4 linked regions of the Arabidopsis thaliana genome follow. The protein of the gene in region 4 interacts with the protein of the main gene of each other region in a biochemical or structural test. Each region holds a gene or a part of one and is shown on either strand. Other genes may lie near its edges.

Region 1 (2,861 bases), on a different chromosome or scaffold from region 4:
TATTGTCCACGGGCTATGCACCACTTAAATAGTGGGGAACACACATGTGTGTGCATTCCCCTTTGTTTAAGGCAATTCTGATATTAAGAACTAAAGCTTTGTATCAACTTTATGAGTAAGTTCCATGCTAGCTTTAGGTTTTTCAAAGGTTTAGATTATATGTCTGCAATGGTGAACGTAAACTATGAATGCATATGCATTATAAGATAGTTTTTCAACGTTTTTTGGCCTTTTGGGAAAGAAACTTCAGTCGTCTAAACGGTTCCTCTAGTACAGCTTGACGCTTTGGCAGGTGATCGAGTCCGCCCAAAAATAGAGAACTTGACATTTTCACTAACAAATTTATTTGATACTATAAATCTGTGATTGGTCGTTGCTCTCATCTTAATTTCTTCTATATTATCTTTACTTGGACTCTTCCGCCAATCTTTTATAAATCTCACACTTTTAATTAATATGATGTCTAGTTTATTACGAAGATTGATAAACTTTTCAATTAATTATAAGTAGACAAACTAGGAGGAGGTCCAATTTCATATTAATATTTTGGTTACATGATTAGAAAGACATTTGATGCCCTTGTGTCGGCTGATTATGATATAAACAATTTTACGTAAAAAAAGAAGAAGACAAATCTTCCGGAACTCACATGCTGTAACAGTAGAAGCCAATACTACGTAAATAATAAATAAACTTCACAAATGAATAATGTCGGAGTCTAATCTAACCACAACAAAATGACAAAATTTTGCAATTTTATAGTATTTGTTATTGTAACATGTTATGTGTAAAAAAAGAGAAGATAATTTTTTTAATCAAAAGCAGAGATAGCCAATTACTTACCTAACTAATTAGAACTAATAAGCCGCTTTAGAAGTTCATGAACCTCCTTTAGTTGTTGGATTAGTTTATTATAATCAAGTGATTACATAAAGTTCACAGCTTCATTTATATTGTTATGATCTTCATTCAAAGAAATTTATATTTTATATAAACGAGAAAAATGGGAACTCCATAAATTTTTAGAAGAAAAATTGTCGTAGTTAAATATCTAACTGAAATTCGTTGAAAGAAAAGAGAATATATTTAAAGTTTCTAATAAATACTATGAAAATCCTTTGAAGAAAAGTACATATTGAATAGAACATATAATCTAGTAAGTTTGTGGTACTCGTTACTTCATCATTTGGATTGAAATGACACAAAAACAAATGTGATGAAGATCCAAACTTAACAAAAATTCATCCAAAATATAAGTTTACACTTTACACACTCGAAGTCTCGAAGGTTCTTACCACAACGTAGTTAAAACGTTAGCCAAATTTAGTTTTAAGAAAATGGTTATGGGGAAATGATGATGTATATGGTTGACTGGGATAACAAAAACTTTTGGAGTGATGTGGGTTTGCATGTTTTAATATATACTTTTAGCTTTATCTTTCCAATTCATAATCATAATCTTTTCGAATAATTGCTTCCGGCTCTTGGAAACTTTTAGATCATTGGATAATGGCTATTCAAAAATCGGTTGATAACCTAAACGTTCTCAAACTTATTAAAACCATGAAATTATACTGAAAATAATAATACTATAATTACGAATCTACCCTTAGCAAGTTATATAAGAACATCATTCTCCTTTCTCTCTTCGACATCGACATTCCTCTTCCTCGCTTCTCTCTCTCTCTCTCTCTCACCGGAAAACTCACTCGGACTTACATTTCCGACGTCAAACTTCTCCAAACCGAATCGGTAATGGCGAAAGGAGGAAACAAACTGATGAAGCTGAAATCAGTTTTGAAGAAACTCAATTCATTCAACACCAAGCCTAACCAGCCACCAGCTCAAACCAATCACAGCCGATCCTCCGCCGTGAGTGCGTTCCCCTCTGAAGACCTTCAAACTGTCTACGTAGGCCGAACACGGAGGACATACCACGTGAGCTCCGATGTCGTGAGCCACCCGCTCTTCCAGCAGCTAGCGGCGGTGGATGGTGGATGCGGCAGCGAGGACGGTTCCATCTCTGTGTCGTGCGAAGTTGTCTTGTTTGAGCATTTGCTTTGGATGTTGGAGAACGCCGACGCCGATGAGTCACGCCCCGAGTCGGTCTACGAACTTGTCGAGTTCTACGCTTGTTAACTCTTTATGATTAATTTAGGTTCAAAATATATTTATGATTAAATGTTACATGTTTGTATATTCTACACTTTGTATACTTTACACTTTACATAGTATTTCGTGAAATAATCTATTTTCTGTTAAATGATACAACAACGATAAAATAAATGTTTAAATGTGTAAATATTGTCTTGCAAGTTGCAATGTAGTTTAAAAATGATGATTTTTTAATGGTTATACAAAGAGCTAAAACTAATTGCAATGTCAATGTTGTATTTGACTGACTTCGTGAACTAGATCAATCACGGGCTACAAAATTTCAAACCCTAATCAATTCATCTTATCTACTTTAGATTGATTGGCCCCTACGTATTTAAATATATTTATAAAATTTATCCGTGTATCTTTTTTTTTCCATAAAAACATACGTATACACGCATGTCATGCACAATTGCACATAAACATACAAACTAAACAATTAAACAATGAACGTATTATATAGATAAATAATTTTGATAAAGTCTAGACGGATTTGCATCTTTTAAAGTCGCAAAAGAAATATGATGACTGAGAAAAAAAAATATAATAAATTAAATCTACATGTGATGTTTTTTAATTTTTGTTTTGGCAAAAGTCATGTAAGAAACTGATTTTATTTGGTAAAATGCAGAATGAAAAAAAAAACGATTAAACATATTTAGGCTTTATGTGAAAAATTAGAAACGAAATTTTTTTCTGACTGG
Region 2 (3,338 bases), on a different chromosome or scaffold from region 4:
ACTCTAGCTTGTTTTTAATACAACTAATCGAAAATTTCTCTTAAATTAAGTTTCTAACCTTTTTAGTAATATTTAATCTAATCCAAAAAAATGAATTTCTAAAAGTATCACACCTTAGAATATTAAGTAATACATGTTGCTACCTTTATATAATTAAGTTATAGCATAACTCGATTTATGCTAATCATTGCAATGATTACGAATCGGAAGTAATTAGTATTCCTAAATTCAGATTGCTTGTTTGTTTCGTGTGATGCCAGTATGTATATGCTGCATATATGCGCGTATCATTTTCCTTTCTTCAAATCTTCAAAAATTCTCTAAGATCTTCACTATTCAAAAATAAAATATTTCACTCTTGATCAAATTGTAGGTCTGGTTTGATGTTTTACTAGCTACATAAGTACATTAAGATAAAGATAGTTATCTAATGTTTAATGATGAGAGAGTACTATATTACTATTTTATTTCTTTTGCTATAAACAAGTACTATATGTTCGACCATTTATAAAAAAGAAGTATCTAAAAATTCCTTAAATGATTAGCTTACCATCCACAACTTTTTTTGTTCGATAAAAGACAGACGGTAAGGTAAGGTCTTCTCCACCTAATTTCTCGGAAATGCCAAACTAACTTTATGAAAAGAATGAGCAATATTTATGATTATGCATTTGCACTAGATAAAAGGACTGTGTCTTGTCGAAAAGAGCATAATATGCTTGTGGTTAGTTTTTGCATCCGTCAATAAAACCTAATTACCGTGTAAATTATATGAGTTTACGAGTTTAATTTTATAGTATGCTTTTTGAATGTTCATATCTAATTTATGTTCTTAATATGAAATGAAGAAAATCGAAGGTAAATCGACAGATGAAGACCATACTTGTTTTCTATAGTACATGATAATATGAACGACAAAAAATTAGCATTATCGGGTAATATTGAACAAAATTGTGGACAAGATGTAATCGTTATCTAAAAAACATCGCTCTTTGTCCGATCATTAGACAACAACACGCAATAAGAGGTTGCCTACACATCTCTACTCACCGCACGTATATGTATATATCTACAAATTATTATATACTATAAGACATCATAATATACAAAATACAATTTAAAAAAAAATTATACAACAAACATGAATGTTTATCAAGCAAGCATTTCCAAAACTGGATTTGTGGTGTCTGACATTTATGTAGGCAAAACAAAATGTCACAGGTAAGAGAAATAGTGTGTATATATAGTATCAAATATATATAAAAAGGAAAAAAAATTGTATCAAATAATTTAATAGTTTTGTTATGTTAAATTAGATAAAATGTTATTTATTATGTATTTTTTATTGATATATATATATATATATATTTAGCCAAATAAATTAATGGTGTAATGATCACTTGTTATATCTGTTTTTTTTAATAGAACGTATTTATCAGTTTTTTCGTAGACCGTATCATTCCCTCATCCATCTATCATAATTTTACAATATTTTTCTTATCAGCAAGTGTAATTTGTAACATGAAAATAAATGAATGAATATGGCAAAATTTATTACAAAATTAAAATTATTACGAATCTCAATATATAATTACAAGATACAACAAAAAAGAAAGAAAAAACAATGGGCAAAAAACGATACTAGTTTTGCCATTTATGTCCTCATCTCTCTTAGCTGTTATGCATCAATCGGTGGGTCATGCACCTATACGTTCTCTCTCTATCTCACTCAATATATATACACGAACCTTCCTCGTTATTTCCTCCCAAGAACATCTCTCAAACATTCCTCTCTTCTTCTTCCAATATTTTGATCCCCACACACACTCACATCAACACATATAAATCTCCTCGTAAACCCTAAACCCTAGCTAGTTTCAACAACTCTCTTGTTCCAACCCCAAGAAAAAAGTTCAATTTCGTTAGCAATGGCCAAAGTTGGGAAGCTGACAAAGCTTAAGTCGGCTATGAAGAAATGGCCTTCTTTCGCCAAGAACCACCACCACTCAACCTCCTCAGCCGCTGTTTCCGACGAACTCTCAGAAGACAACAATCTCCATGTGGTTTACGTTGGTCAAACTCGAAGACCTTACATGCTTAGACCAGACATCATCTCTCACCCACTCTTTCAAGAACTCGTGGATCGGTCTTCTTCTAGATCCATCGAACAAGATCGTGAGATTGTTGTAGCTTGTGAAGTCGTTTTGTTCGAGCACTTGCTGTGGATGCTCAAGTCTGGTCAAGAAGGAGGATCCGTTGAAGAATTGGCTGAGTTCTATACTTATTGACATCGACCGATTGATTTTATACATTTATTTCGTATAATATATACCTTTTTTGTTGTTGTTTGTTGTTGCTGATTTGTATTTTCATTCGATGCGGTGTGTGATCAAAACGTGATCTCGTAAACCATGTCATTTGCTTCCGTTTTTCTGAGCAATTTTATGATGATGATGAGCATATGTAGTTTTCTTACTTTGTTAAGACCAACCAAGAATAAATTTCTACTAACAACAATCTTTATATATATTTTCCTTCAAAATGTATTTCAGTACCTATATTAATTGTAATATACATAAAAAAAGAATGCAATGATTTCAAGAAAACAAACTAAGTTTTCTGGTAGGTTTTGTTTCTATATTTATTTTATTATGGCGGTTTTGTAAACTTTTGTTTCTATTTTCGTAACGTATCTTTCTCATATGAGTCATGAGTCTCATGACATAATAAAGAAGGCCTTTGATGATGTTCGATAAACAAAAGTTGGTTGAATATGATGAGTCCAATTCATTTATTTTGCTTTATATAAACAAAATATGACTAGCAATGATTTCTATCATCGATATTCATTTTTTTTTTTTTTTGCGTATCATTTGTATGGTGTCAGTTTCAAATCTATTTTTGTGTGTGTATAAAATAGAAAATACGTATGCAATTTCTTTTAAGGAAATAATAATGGTCGCTCTCATGACGCGTTGGTGACCTGGTCCCAATTTCATGTCCCTACTCTCCTTTCTAGTTGCAGACATTATATATTTATCTTTTAATATTCTTGAACTTTCAGCCATACAAAATAAATTAAAGCTTACAGGTTAATTAGTCGATATACTAATAAATTTGTAGTTTGTTGTACTAATTGGCATTACTTACACCAACATATGTGCATTAATATACGTTTATAGACATAAATTGGTAGATAAAATAACTGACATTAATTTTCCGAGGTGGGTACGAAAAGGACGCGCAGAATAATTATTGAAGATAAGTATAATTAGTAAGACCAAAATAAATTAATTTCCTACGTAGGACGAAGTTCTAATCATTATAATCAAAGAAAA
Region 3 (3,604 bases), on a different chromosome or scaffold from region 4:
AAACAAATTGTCCCCAAATCCTTCAGAAAAACCCGACATATATCACAGACGCTAATAAAAAGGTTGCCATATGAATTCATATTCTGCTCCGAAATGCACAGGAAAGAAAAATCTCAGAACAAGAAGATCTGATAATTAGAACAAGCCAAATGCTAAAGACTAACTAAAACTATTCTAAAGTTTTAGAGTTTCCACTAAACGAAGCAAAGATGATAGGAACTCACTCACTGGATTTGCCGTCACCGTCGCACAATCAGCCTCTGTTTACCGATTAACAGTCAAACTTGAAGACCACCAAGCTGCACGTCACTGTTTCTACGCCACGATGCCGTTTTGCGAGACCAATCTTATTAAATGGGCCTATTTGGCCCAAGTTCTCCAATATATTCCCCAATAGTAAATCCACAAAGTGTCCATTTTTTTATACAGATTCAATTAATACGAATTTTTTTTCAACGTTGAAATACATAATTCTTTGTTTATATTCAGGCAAAGATATCCCATTATCTACATATAGGCTATAGCTTGACATGAGATATTAAGAACTACATAAATAATTATGCTGGTCGAGTTAATGAGCATCCTATATTTTATTATTTTATTAAAAACCACCATTATGATTACGAGCCATACATACTCACATCGTAGTCATGTTTAATTAATTACTCCAAGAAGTTTATACCTAATTTCACTTCACATTACAACTTGGATACACTTATAGACGTAGTTAGTAATTTATACTTAAATATTTGTTTCCGTGACAGCTTGATGCCACTAGAAAGGCAAGTAGGACAACCGTCCGTGCAATTGGGTAGCCCTGCGCATCATCATGTGGCGGCCACTTTTATTCTTTCGAAAATCTCATAACTACGTACTACTGTAGAGTACATGTATATCAAATGGAGCTAATCATAAAAAACAATTTTAGCATATGTTACAATTTATCATCATTTGGGGCAAGATACTACTACCCTCTTTCGACCGACATAATTATAATATTAGTTAAAGATTACTAGTTAACTCTAAAAATTTGCTCGGGAGAAAAACAAAAGCAAAGAAAATGGTCTGTGCATGACCGCATTATTGGATCATGTCGAATCAAATTCCAAAATTAACGAAATAAAAGTATATATGGATATGTATCGCGCCGTCAATAAGTATAGAACTCAGCCAACTCCTCGACGGATCCTCTTTCGCGATCATCCTCATCGCCGTGATCAGAGGAACTGTTTTTGAGCATCCATAACAAGTGCTCGAACAATACGACTTCGCAAGCTACTAAGACGGTCTCTTGGTCGTGACGTTCTTCGATAAATCTAGACGACCGGTCAAGTAGTTCTTGGAAAAGCGGATGAGCGATGACGTGGGAACTAAGCATGTAAGGTCTTCGTGACTTTCCGACGTAAACCACATGGAGATCCTCGCACTTTGAGACCTCAGATACGGCGGTAGAGGCGGTACACATGGTTGAATGGTGGTTCTTGGTCAAGGAAGGCCATTTCTTTATGGCAGACTTGAGCTTTGTCAGTTTACCGAATATAGCCATTAGCGAAAGTCTCTGATTTTTAGCAATAGTAGTAGTTTCTTGAAATTAAGATTATTGTTTTGTGTATGTTTTATCAGGAATTGAGAAACTAACTTTCTTGGTACGTAAGAAGGAAGTATTGGGTTCTTTGTATTTATATTGAGGGACAGGGAGAGAAAGAGAACAGCTAAGAAAGATAAAGGAGGCTACAAAATCTGTAAAACTGGTGTCCCCTTGCTCTAAATTTTATTTAATAATCTATATTATATATTATGTGTAAGTGTGTGTGGATGCATGTTGATATGTGCATACGTGTGTATGTGGGCTGGACAATCTACTCTTGTGTCTTGTTGTGCAATGAATCGGACCAAGCAAGGGTGATCGATGATTTTTAGATAAAGATTACATCATGATTGAGATAAGATCTCCATGATAATTATATTTAGTGTCGCGCTTAAAGTTACGGTTTTGGCCGAAAGAATAGGGTGTATAGTAATTTAGCTTTTTAATTATTACACACAAAATCTTGTAGTTTAGTTATTATATATATGTTTTTTTGAACACAAGCGGTCCATATATTTTAATATGTACGTATTTAAATTTATACTTTCTTGAATAAAAACTAATTCGACAATTGAAGTCATAAAACAAAAGCATCTGTCTTTGATCGAACTGCACATTGTGGGAGATAAGCTAATTGGTAAAAGAAGTATAGAAAACCTTTATAAAGTGATCCAAACTTGTTTTTATCAATAGTTTAGCCTAAGAGAAATCAAACAACAAAATAGTCGTCGATCATCATTAGTTAAATACCTTAGTGATAGTGATTAATGTTGATTAATTAGTAGTAGTAATCTGTGTGATGATTTATATATATATATGTATAAAAAGAATCCAGATATAAACCTGTTTATCGCACGTAAACAATACCCTGCTTATGTGCATTTGACTCTGTGATCGGTTCAATGTACTACACTAAAATATTTCTTCGAAAATATAATACGTTTTAAAAATACTAATATATAAATGTTGACATTGTGATGCTACAATTTTGTAATCAAGAACTCGTTTGGTATATTCTGAACTGTAGACAGAACCCCTGGTTCTCGTAGACAATGTAGTGTATAACATACTAACTCAGTTGATTGAACTTTTATTGTTAATCTAACCTCATCGAATTGAATTCTGAAACATTGAAGAAAAGAGCTGTATATTTTTTTTTATTAATCTCAGAAATATCCGACAGCTTTTGGTTTTGGTGGGCGAACAATTGCCAGCCAACAGCCAACAAAATCAAATTATTTAATGAGAAGAATTAAATAAAAATATTCTGAACAAATAAGTTAGTTGCAAGAGCAAATTAGCCAGTTGGGATGTTCTTGTTCTTCAAGAGTGCGTTACACCTTTTCCTTGGTTTAACCAGCCAATTAAAAAGATTTTGTTTAATGAAAAGAGTTTGAAACATGAAGCATCTAAAAAAATCCTAATCTTGTTACACTTTTTCTTTTGTCCACATTTTTAAGTACTCTATATAGGAAGGTGTGTTGCTGAAGTCAGCCCATTACACGACGTGTCAAGAAAGCCTTAGGTGGTATACTACAGAGGCTCCTGTCGTCTAACATAAAGTGTTTTCGGGTGCAAAAAGATAAATATTTTTGGGGCCAGATTTCTTAGAAATTAGCCGGTCTCGAAACGCAGGCCTCTCTAACCTTTAAAGAAACCTTTTGGCAATAATTCTATCAGGATGCTATGTTTTAGTTTGTTGGTAACTTTTCAACACAATGGATTCAAAGGTCTAATAACACAATTTATTGCCGCGCATGAATTGGCGGTTAATAAATTACGAAAAAAATGGAAAAACAAACAAACCAAACCCTCTATATATACCAAAAACAGAAAAACAGAATCAAACTTTGTGGGTGGTGGTGAAAAAACAAGAATGAAATCTATTTTGCTAAGAATAGAAAGAAAGAAAGAAAAAAAAAAGAAAACAAGAAACGTGGATCTTTACAAAGGTATGAGTCGGATATTTACAAGATGTAACTGTTATTCTGTGCTTTTCCTGTTATTACGACTCTG
Region 4 (5,945 bases):
TCTATTTCTCTTTTTGTTTCATTGATACTAATGCAAATCGAGGAGGATCCTTAATGATTCTAAGTGTTCTCTTTGTGATACTGTCAGGATGTGGTCCAGAAAATTATGATGTTCGCAAACCAAAGCAAGCATGAACTATGCGTTCTTTCTGCATCAGGCACTATCTCTAATGCATCCTTGCGCCAACCGGCTCCATCAGGAGGCAACTTACCATATGAGGTGATTTTCTCTTGCAGTAAAATAGTACTCAGCTTGCTTCTTTGTTGTTTCTTTCCAAAGGGGAGAGGAGGGTTTTTTCTTTCTGATCCTTTCTCTCTATTCTGTGTGATAGAGGAAAATTGATACACAATACAGTTAGCATGTTGATAAAGCAAAGAGATTCTTAATTCAGATACTTTCTTTGAAGTTTGCATATCATTGTTAAACTTGCCTCAAATTTCAAAAAATTTATTCAGGGTCAATACGAGATTCTCTCACTATCTGGATCCTATATCCGAACTGAACAAGGTGGTAAATCCGGCGGCCTTAGCGTTTCTTTATCTGCTTCAGATGGTCAGATCATCGGTGGAGCGATTGGTAGCCATCTCACAGCTGCTGGCCCGGTTCAGGTACAATTCTGTTGTATCATAGTTTCAACTTGCATATATTGAAACATTGTTATTGTTTCCAACCATCTTACACAAAACTGATCATTTCCTAAGATAGGAGGTCTGGCTTTGATTGATCGCCTTAGATTTGTGCAAATGCAGGTGATTCTTGGTACGTTTCAGCTTGATAGAAAGAAGGATGCCGCCGGGAGTGGTGGGAAAGGGGATGCTTCAAACAGTGGAAGTCGGTTAACTTCTCCTGTAAGCTCTGGACAGTTGCTTGGCATGGGTTTCCCTCCTGGTATGGAATCTACGGGAAGAAATCCAATGAGGGGAAACGACGAGCAACATGATCATCATCATCATCAAGCCGGTTTGGGTGGACCTCATCATTTCATGATGCAAGCGCCGCAGGGGATACACATGACACATTCCAGGCCATCTGAATGGCGCGGAGGAGGCAACAGCGGTCATGATGGCAGAGGCGGTGGCGGGTATGATTTGTCAGGTAACAAAAAAGCTCAAAACTTCTCGAAAGATGTCATCTTTCTTCATCAAAGTTCAAACCCTTAAATCCAAACAAGGACAGATTAGAATTGCTATGGAGATTGGTGGAAATTAGTATTTTGTAGAGTTCTAGAAGATTACAGGCTAAAGCTCTTCTCCGTTGTGGCAATGGCTTGAAACGCTGATGGATGTAATCTTGTGCAGGAAGGATAGGACATGAGTCGTCGGAGAATGGAGATTACGAGCAGCAAATACCGGATTAGCAGAGCTTCCAGGAGAAGTGTGTAGAGTTTAGATCCCAAGTAGAGAAACAGAAGGCGAGCAAAGAATCTGAACTGAGAGAGGACTTATTAGACAGAGACTCGTCTGAAGGGTCTTTAATCATAGAAAGAAGTTGCTGAGTGATTGCTTTTGTTCTTCTTCTTGGTACGGTGTATTATATTAACTCCACAACCTTTTTTTTATACTTTCAGTAACGATTCTCCTTCACTTTCAATTTCATTCCTTTTTTTTATACTCTTTTTCTTTTCTTATAATATTTTTTTTGGTTTTTCTTTCGTTTGTTACTAAAAAAGGAAATGCTCTTTTTGTGAAATATATACACTTCGTTTGTTCGGTTTCTACTTATGTTAATTATTCATAACCTATCTTAATTTAGTAAACGGTTCCTATGAGCCGTTACTTGGACCAAAACATTAACTCATTTGACGAAGAACAAAAAAACTCATTTGAGAATTCTGTTTATTTATTCATATTAATATTGATTTAGTTTAAAATTCTTGGTAACTTTATGTCAAGTTGTCAACTTGTAAATTTCTTGATTGATAATGTTGGAATGCTATAACTTATGTGAAGCCAAAAATTACTGTTAAAAATTCTTATCTTTAATGGGAATTTTTTGTTGACATCTAAGCTTAAAGTGAAACACCACCATTTTTATGGACTTGAGCAACTCTCCGGAAATTGCTTAAGCGAAAAGTCTGCTGCTTTTGTCTTAAAAAAACTTTGAATATTGTTGACTCAAGTCTGAAAATCCGCAACTGAAACTCCCGGAAAAGATCTGCCACCACCGGACCAACTCGGTTTCTTCTCTTTTCTAATCACTTCTTCTGTTTCTCCAACTTCTGTGAAAAAGATGTCAGATTGACTCGATTTCGTTGCTACAAATGGAGATGGGTCTTTCTTATTTATCTTACTAGATTCGAGAGGTGTGTTCTTTCTCTATTCTATTGGCTTGAATCTTAGCTTTCGTTTTTCTCTGATTACCTTCCCCTGGAATTTAAAAAAAAAAAACTCAAAGGCGGTTTCTTTTCTCAGTACTACGAATATCGAGGAACATAGATCTTGATTCCTTTGCCTTCTTCTGGGTATGCGTGTTTGGAGTTGTTTAATCTCATTGGTCTCTACGCGTTGTGGAAATCTATGAATACCAAGTCAGTTATGTTTAATTGGTTCATTGGATCTCAACTTGTAGAGAGCCTCAAGATTGTGGCTGGATTTGATTAGGGTTTTAGATAGAGAGATTAAAGATTGGATCAGAAGATGTTAAGATCTTTAGGTCTTGGATTGCTTCTGTTTGCTCTTCTTGCTCTGGTTTCTGGTGATAACGATTACGTGAGCTGTAATTGTGACGACGAAGGTTTCTTAAGTGTCCACACCATCTTAGAATGTCAAAGAGTGAGTGATCTCTTAATAGCCATTGCCTATTTCTCAATACCTCTCGAGCTTCTCTACTTCATTAGCTTCTCCAATGTTCCTTTCAAATGGGTTCTTGTTCAATTCATTGCCTTTATTGTCCTATGTGGAATGACTCATTTGCTTAACGCTTGGACGTATTACGGACCACACTCTTTCCAGCTTATGCTTTGGCTTACCATCTTTAAATTCCTCACGGCGCTTGTCTCGTGTGCCACGGCTATCACGCTCTTGACTTTGATTCCGTTGCTGTTGAAATGGAAAGTTAGAGAGCTTTACTTGAAGCAGAATGTGTTGGAGCTTAATGAAGAGGTTGGATTGATGAAGAGGCAGAAGGAAATGAGTGTGCAGGTGAGAATGCTTACTCGGGAGATCAGGAAATCGCTCGATAAGCATATGATTCTGCGGACTACTCTCGTTGAGCTATCCAAGATTCTTGATTTACAGAACTCTGCTGTTTGGATGCCTAACGAGAACAGAACCGAGATGCATTTGACTCATGAGCTTAGAGCGAATCCGATGAGGAGTTTCAGGGTAATCCCGATTAATGATCCCGATGTTGTTCAGGTTAGGGAGACCAAAGTAGTGACAATTTTGAGGAAAAACTCTGTTCTTGCGGTTGAGAGCAGTGGTTGTGGCGGTTCGGAAGAGTTTGGACCGGTTGCTGCAATTCGGATGCCGATGCTTCACGGATTGAATTTCAAAGGAGGCACTCCCGAGTTTGTGGATACTCCTTATGCTATAATGGTTTTGGTACTTCCGAGTGCGAATTCACGGGTTTGGACCGATAAAGAGATCGAGATAGCGGAAGTTGTTGCTGATCAAGTAGCGGTTGCTATCTCTCATGCCTCAGTTCTTGAAGAATCACAGTTAATGAGAGAAAAACTCGGTATTCAAAACCGAGCTTTACTTCGAGCAAAACAGAACGCGATGATGGCAAGTCAAGCGAGGAACACTTGCCAGAAAGTGATGAGTCATGGAATGAGGAGACCAATGCACACAATTCTTGGTCTACTCTCCATGTTTCAGTCCGAAAGTATGAGTCTTGACCAGAAAATCATCGTTGATGCGCTCATGAAAACAAGCACAGTTCTCTCAGCTTTAATCAACGACGTGATTGACATTTCGCCTAAAGATAACGGGAAATCTGCATTAGAGGTTAAACGGTTCCAGCTACATTCCTTGATAAGAGAAGCCGCTTGTGTTGCTAAATGCTTAAGCGTTTACAAAGGTTACGGTTTTGAGATGGATGTTCAAACGCGGTTGCCTAATTTAGTAGTAGGAGATGAAAAGAGAACGTTTCAGCTTGTGATGTATATGCTTGGGTATATCTTGGATATGACTGATGGAGGCAAAACCGTTACGTTCCGAGTTATCTGTGAAGGTACTGGAACAAGTCAGGACAAGAGCAAAAGAGAAACTGGAATGTGGAAGTCCCATATGTCCGATGATTCCCTCGGTGTGAAATTTGAAGTTGAGATTAATGAGATTCAGAATCCTCCATTGGATGGTTCGGCTATGGCTATGAGACATATTCCGAACAGAAGATATCATAGCAATGGGATTAAGGAAGGCTTGAGCTTAGGCATGTGTAGAAAACTTGCACAGGTTAGTGATCTCATCATGTCTCTGTTTCTGTTTGGTATATAGAGATTCTAATTATAAACAGTGTATTTGATTTGAAATTTGTTTTGCAGATGATGCAAGGAAACATATGGATATCACCTAAATCGCATGGACAAACACAGAGTATGCAATTAGTTCTGAGGTTTCAGACAAGACCATCGATTAGGAGATCAATCTTAGCAGGAAATGCTCCAGAGCTTCAACATCCGAATTCAAATTCCATTCTTCGTGGTCTAAGAATCACTCTAGCAGACGATGATGATGTCAACAGAACCGTGACTAAGAGACTTCTTGAGAAACTCGGCTGCGAAGTAACTGCTGTCTCGTCTGGATTTGAGTGTTTGAATGCGTTGTCAAATGTGGAAATGTCGTATAGAGTTGTGATTTTGGATCTGCAGATGCCGGAGATGGATGGTTTCGAAGTAGCAATGAAGATAAGGAAGTTTTGTGGACATCATTGGCCATTGATTATAGCTTTGACTGCTAGTACTGAAGATCATGTTAGGGAAAGATGTTTGCAAATGGGGATGAATGGTATGATCCAGAAACCGGTTCTTTTGCATGTTATGGCTTCTGAGCTTAGACGGGCTTTGCAGACCGCGAGCGAGTGATTCGAGCTCAGAGAAGGAAGCAGATATCAATGAATCTTGAAAAGCAAAAATCTTGAAACGAAGAAAAGCAGAGTGAGGATTCTTTGAAGATGTGAAGCATAGAGACACCTCTCTGGGGAAATGTTTTTGTTGTTGTTGTTGTCTCGGTTCTACAGTGATGAGAATTGAGTCAGTTTTCTCTATTTAGCCTAGTTTGGAGATTGGTTGGTTCGAAACTATTTATACGTAATGATTTCGCATTTTTAGCGAAAAAATAACATAAGTTTATTAGATTTAATAATAATTAATTTTATAATTTTGTCTTGAGTAAATTCTCTCTGAATATTTATACAATTCTTTTTTTGCATCTCATTATTAAATTCATCATATTTTGTCAAAATTCATCGCTTGTATTCTCTAATCTATTGCTCTAACTTTTTATTCTTTGTTTACTATTTTTTGACATTTTTTATTTAGTTTTACTATTCAGACTGAATGTTTCAAGCATTGTATATTTTGGACATTTCTTTGTCAACCAAAAAGAAATAATATTGTATCAAATCAAATGAAATTTATTAATTATTTATTTTTTGTCAATGTAATTTAGTTAGTATTTTATCAAATGTATTTTTTGTTTGTTTTTTGATATAAACAAAAAGTCTATTTAAAAATACTTTTTTTGACGGCAAAAACTTTATTTGACAGCAAAAACGTTTTTTTCTTAAAGACTAAAGTTTAGACCAGACCACCACACCAAACGTTTGATTGCTAAATGTTAGTATCTATACGAACACCAAAGTTAATGTTATTTAATGCTTTGTGTAGTCTTAAGAACGAACATCACGTAACGCTATAAATTATGTTCGACATATCGATGTTCGAATTTTTTAAAATGTACTTATTTGGATTGGATATTAACAAATACCAAACGACAAAAAAT

What was found.
Region 1: the proteins of EIN4 (region 4) and AT5G20820 form a complex in vitro, tested with the Arabidopsis thaliana proteins (one study listed by BioGRID).
Region 2: the proteins of EIN4 (region 4) and AT1G72430 form a complex in vitro, tested with the Arabidopsis thaliana proteins (one study listed by BioGRID).
Region 3: the proteins of EIN4 (region 4) and AT1G17345 form a complex in vitro, tested with the Arabidopsis thaliana proteins (one study listed by BioGRID).

What each region holds. Positions count from the first base shown.
Region 1 is NC_003076.8:7,046,189-7,049,049, reverse strand, and holds AT5G20820 (SAUR-like auxin-responsive protein family), read left to right. Parts: upstream 1-1,603; 5' UTR 1,604-1,755; coding exon 1,756-2,139; 3' UTR 2,140-2,303; downstream 2,304-2,861. UniProt on the Arabidopsis thaliana protein: May be involved in the regulation of ethylene receptor signaling. Promotes cell expansion and plant growth. Involved in the regulation of cell elongation.
Region 2 is NC_003070.9:27,264,100-27,267,437, reverse strand, and holds AT1G72430 (SAUR-like auxin-responsive protein family), read left to right. Parts: upstream 1-1,631; 5' UTR 1,632-1,928; coding exon 1,929-2,288; 3' UTR 2,289-2,836; downstream 2,837-3,338. UniProt on the Arabidopsis thaliana protein: May be involved in the regulation of ethylene receptor signaling. Promotes cell expansion and plant growth.
Region 3 is NC_003070.9:5,938,467-5,942,070, reverse strand, and holds AT1G17345 (SAUR-like auxin-responsive protein family), read right to left. Parts: upstream 1,780-3,604; 5' UTR 1,547-1,779; coding exon 1,151-1,546; 3' UTR 546-1,150; downstream 1-545. UniProt on the Arabidopsis thaliana protein: May be involved in the regulation of ethylene receptor signaling. Promotes cell expansion and plant growth.
Region 4 is NC_003074.8:1,234,657-1,240,601, reverse strand, and holds EIN4 (Signal transduction histidine kinase, hybrid-type, ethylene sensor), read left to right. Parts: upstream 1-1,985; 5' UTR 1,986-2,636; coding exon 2,637-4,397; intron 4,398-4,486; coding exon 4,487-5,026; 3' UTR 5,027-5,393; downstream 5,394-5,945. Other genes in the region: AT3G04590 (AT hook motif DNA-binding family protein), read left to right, coding at 88-219, 456-608, 750-1,095, 1,299-1,357.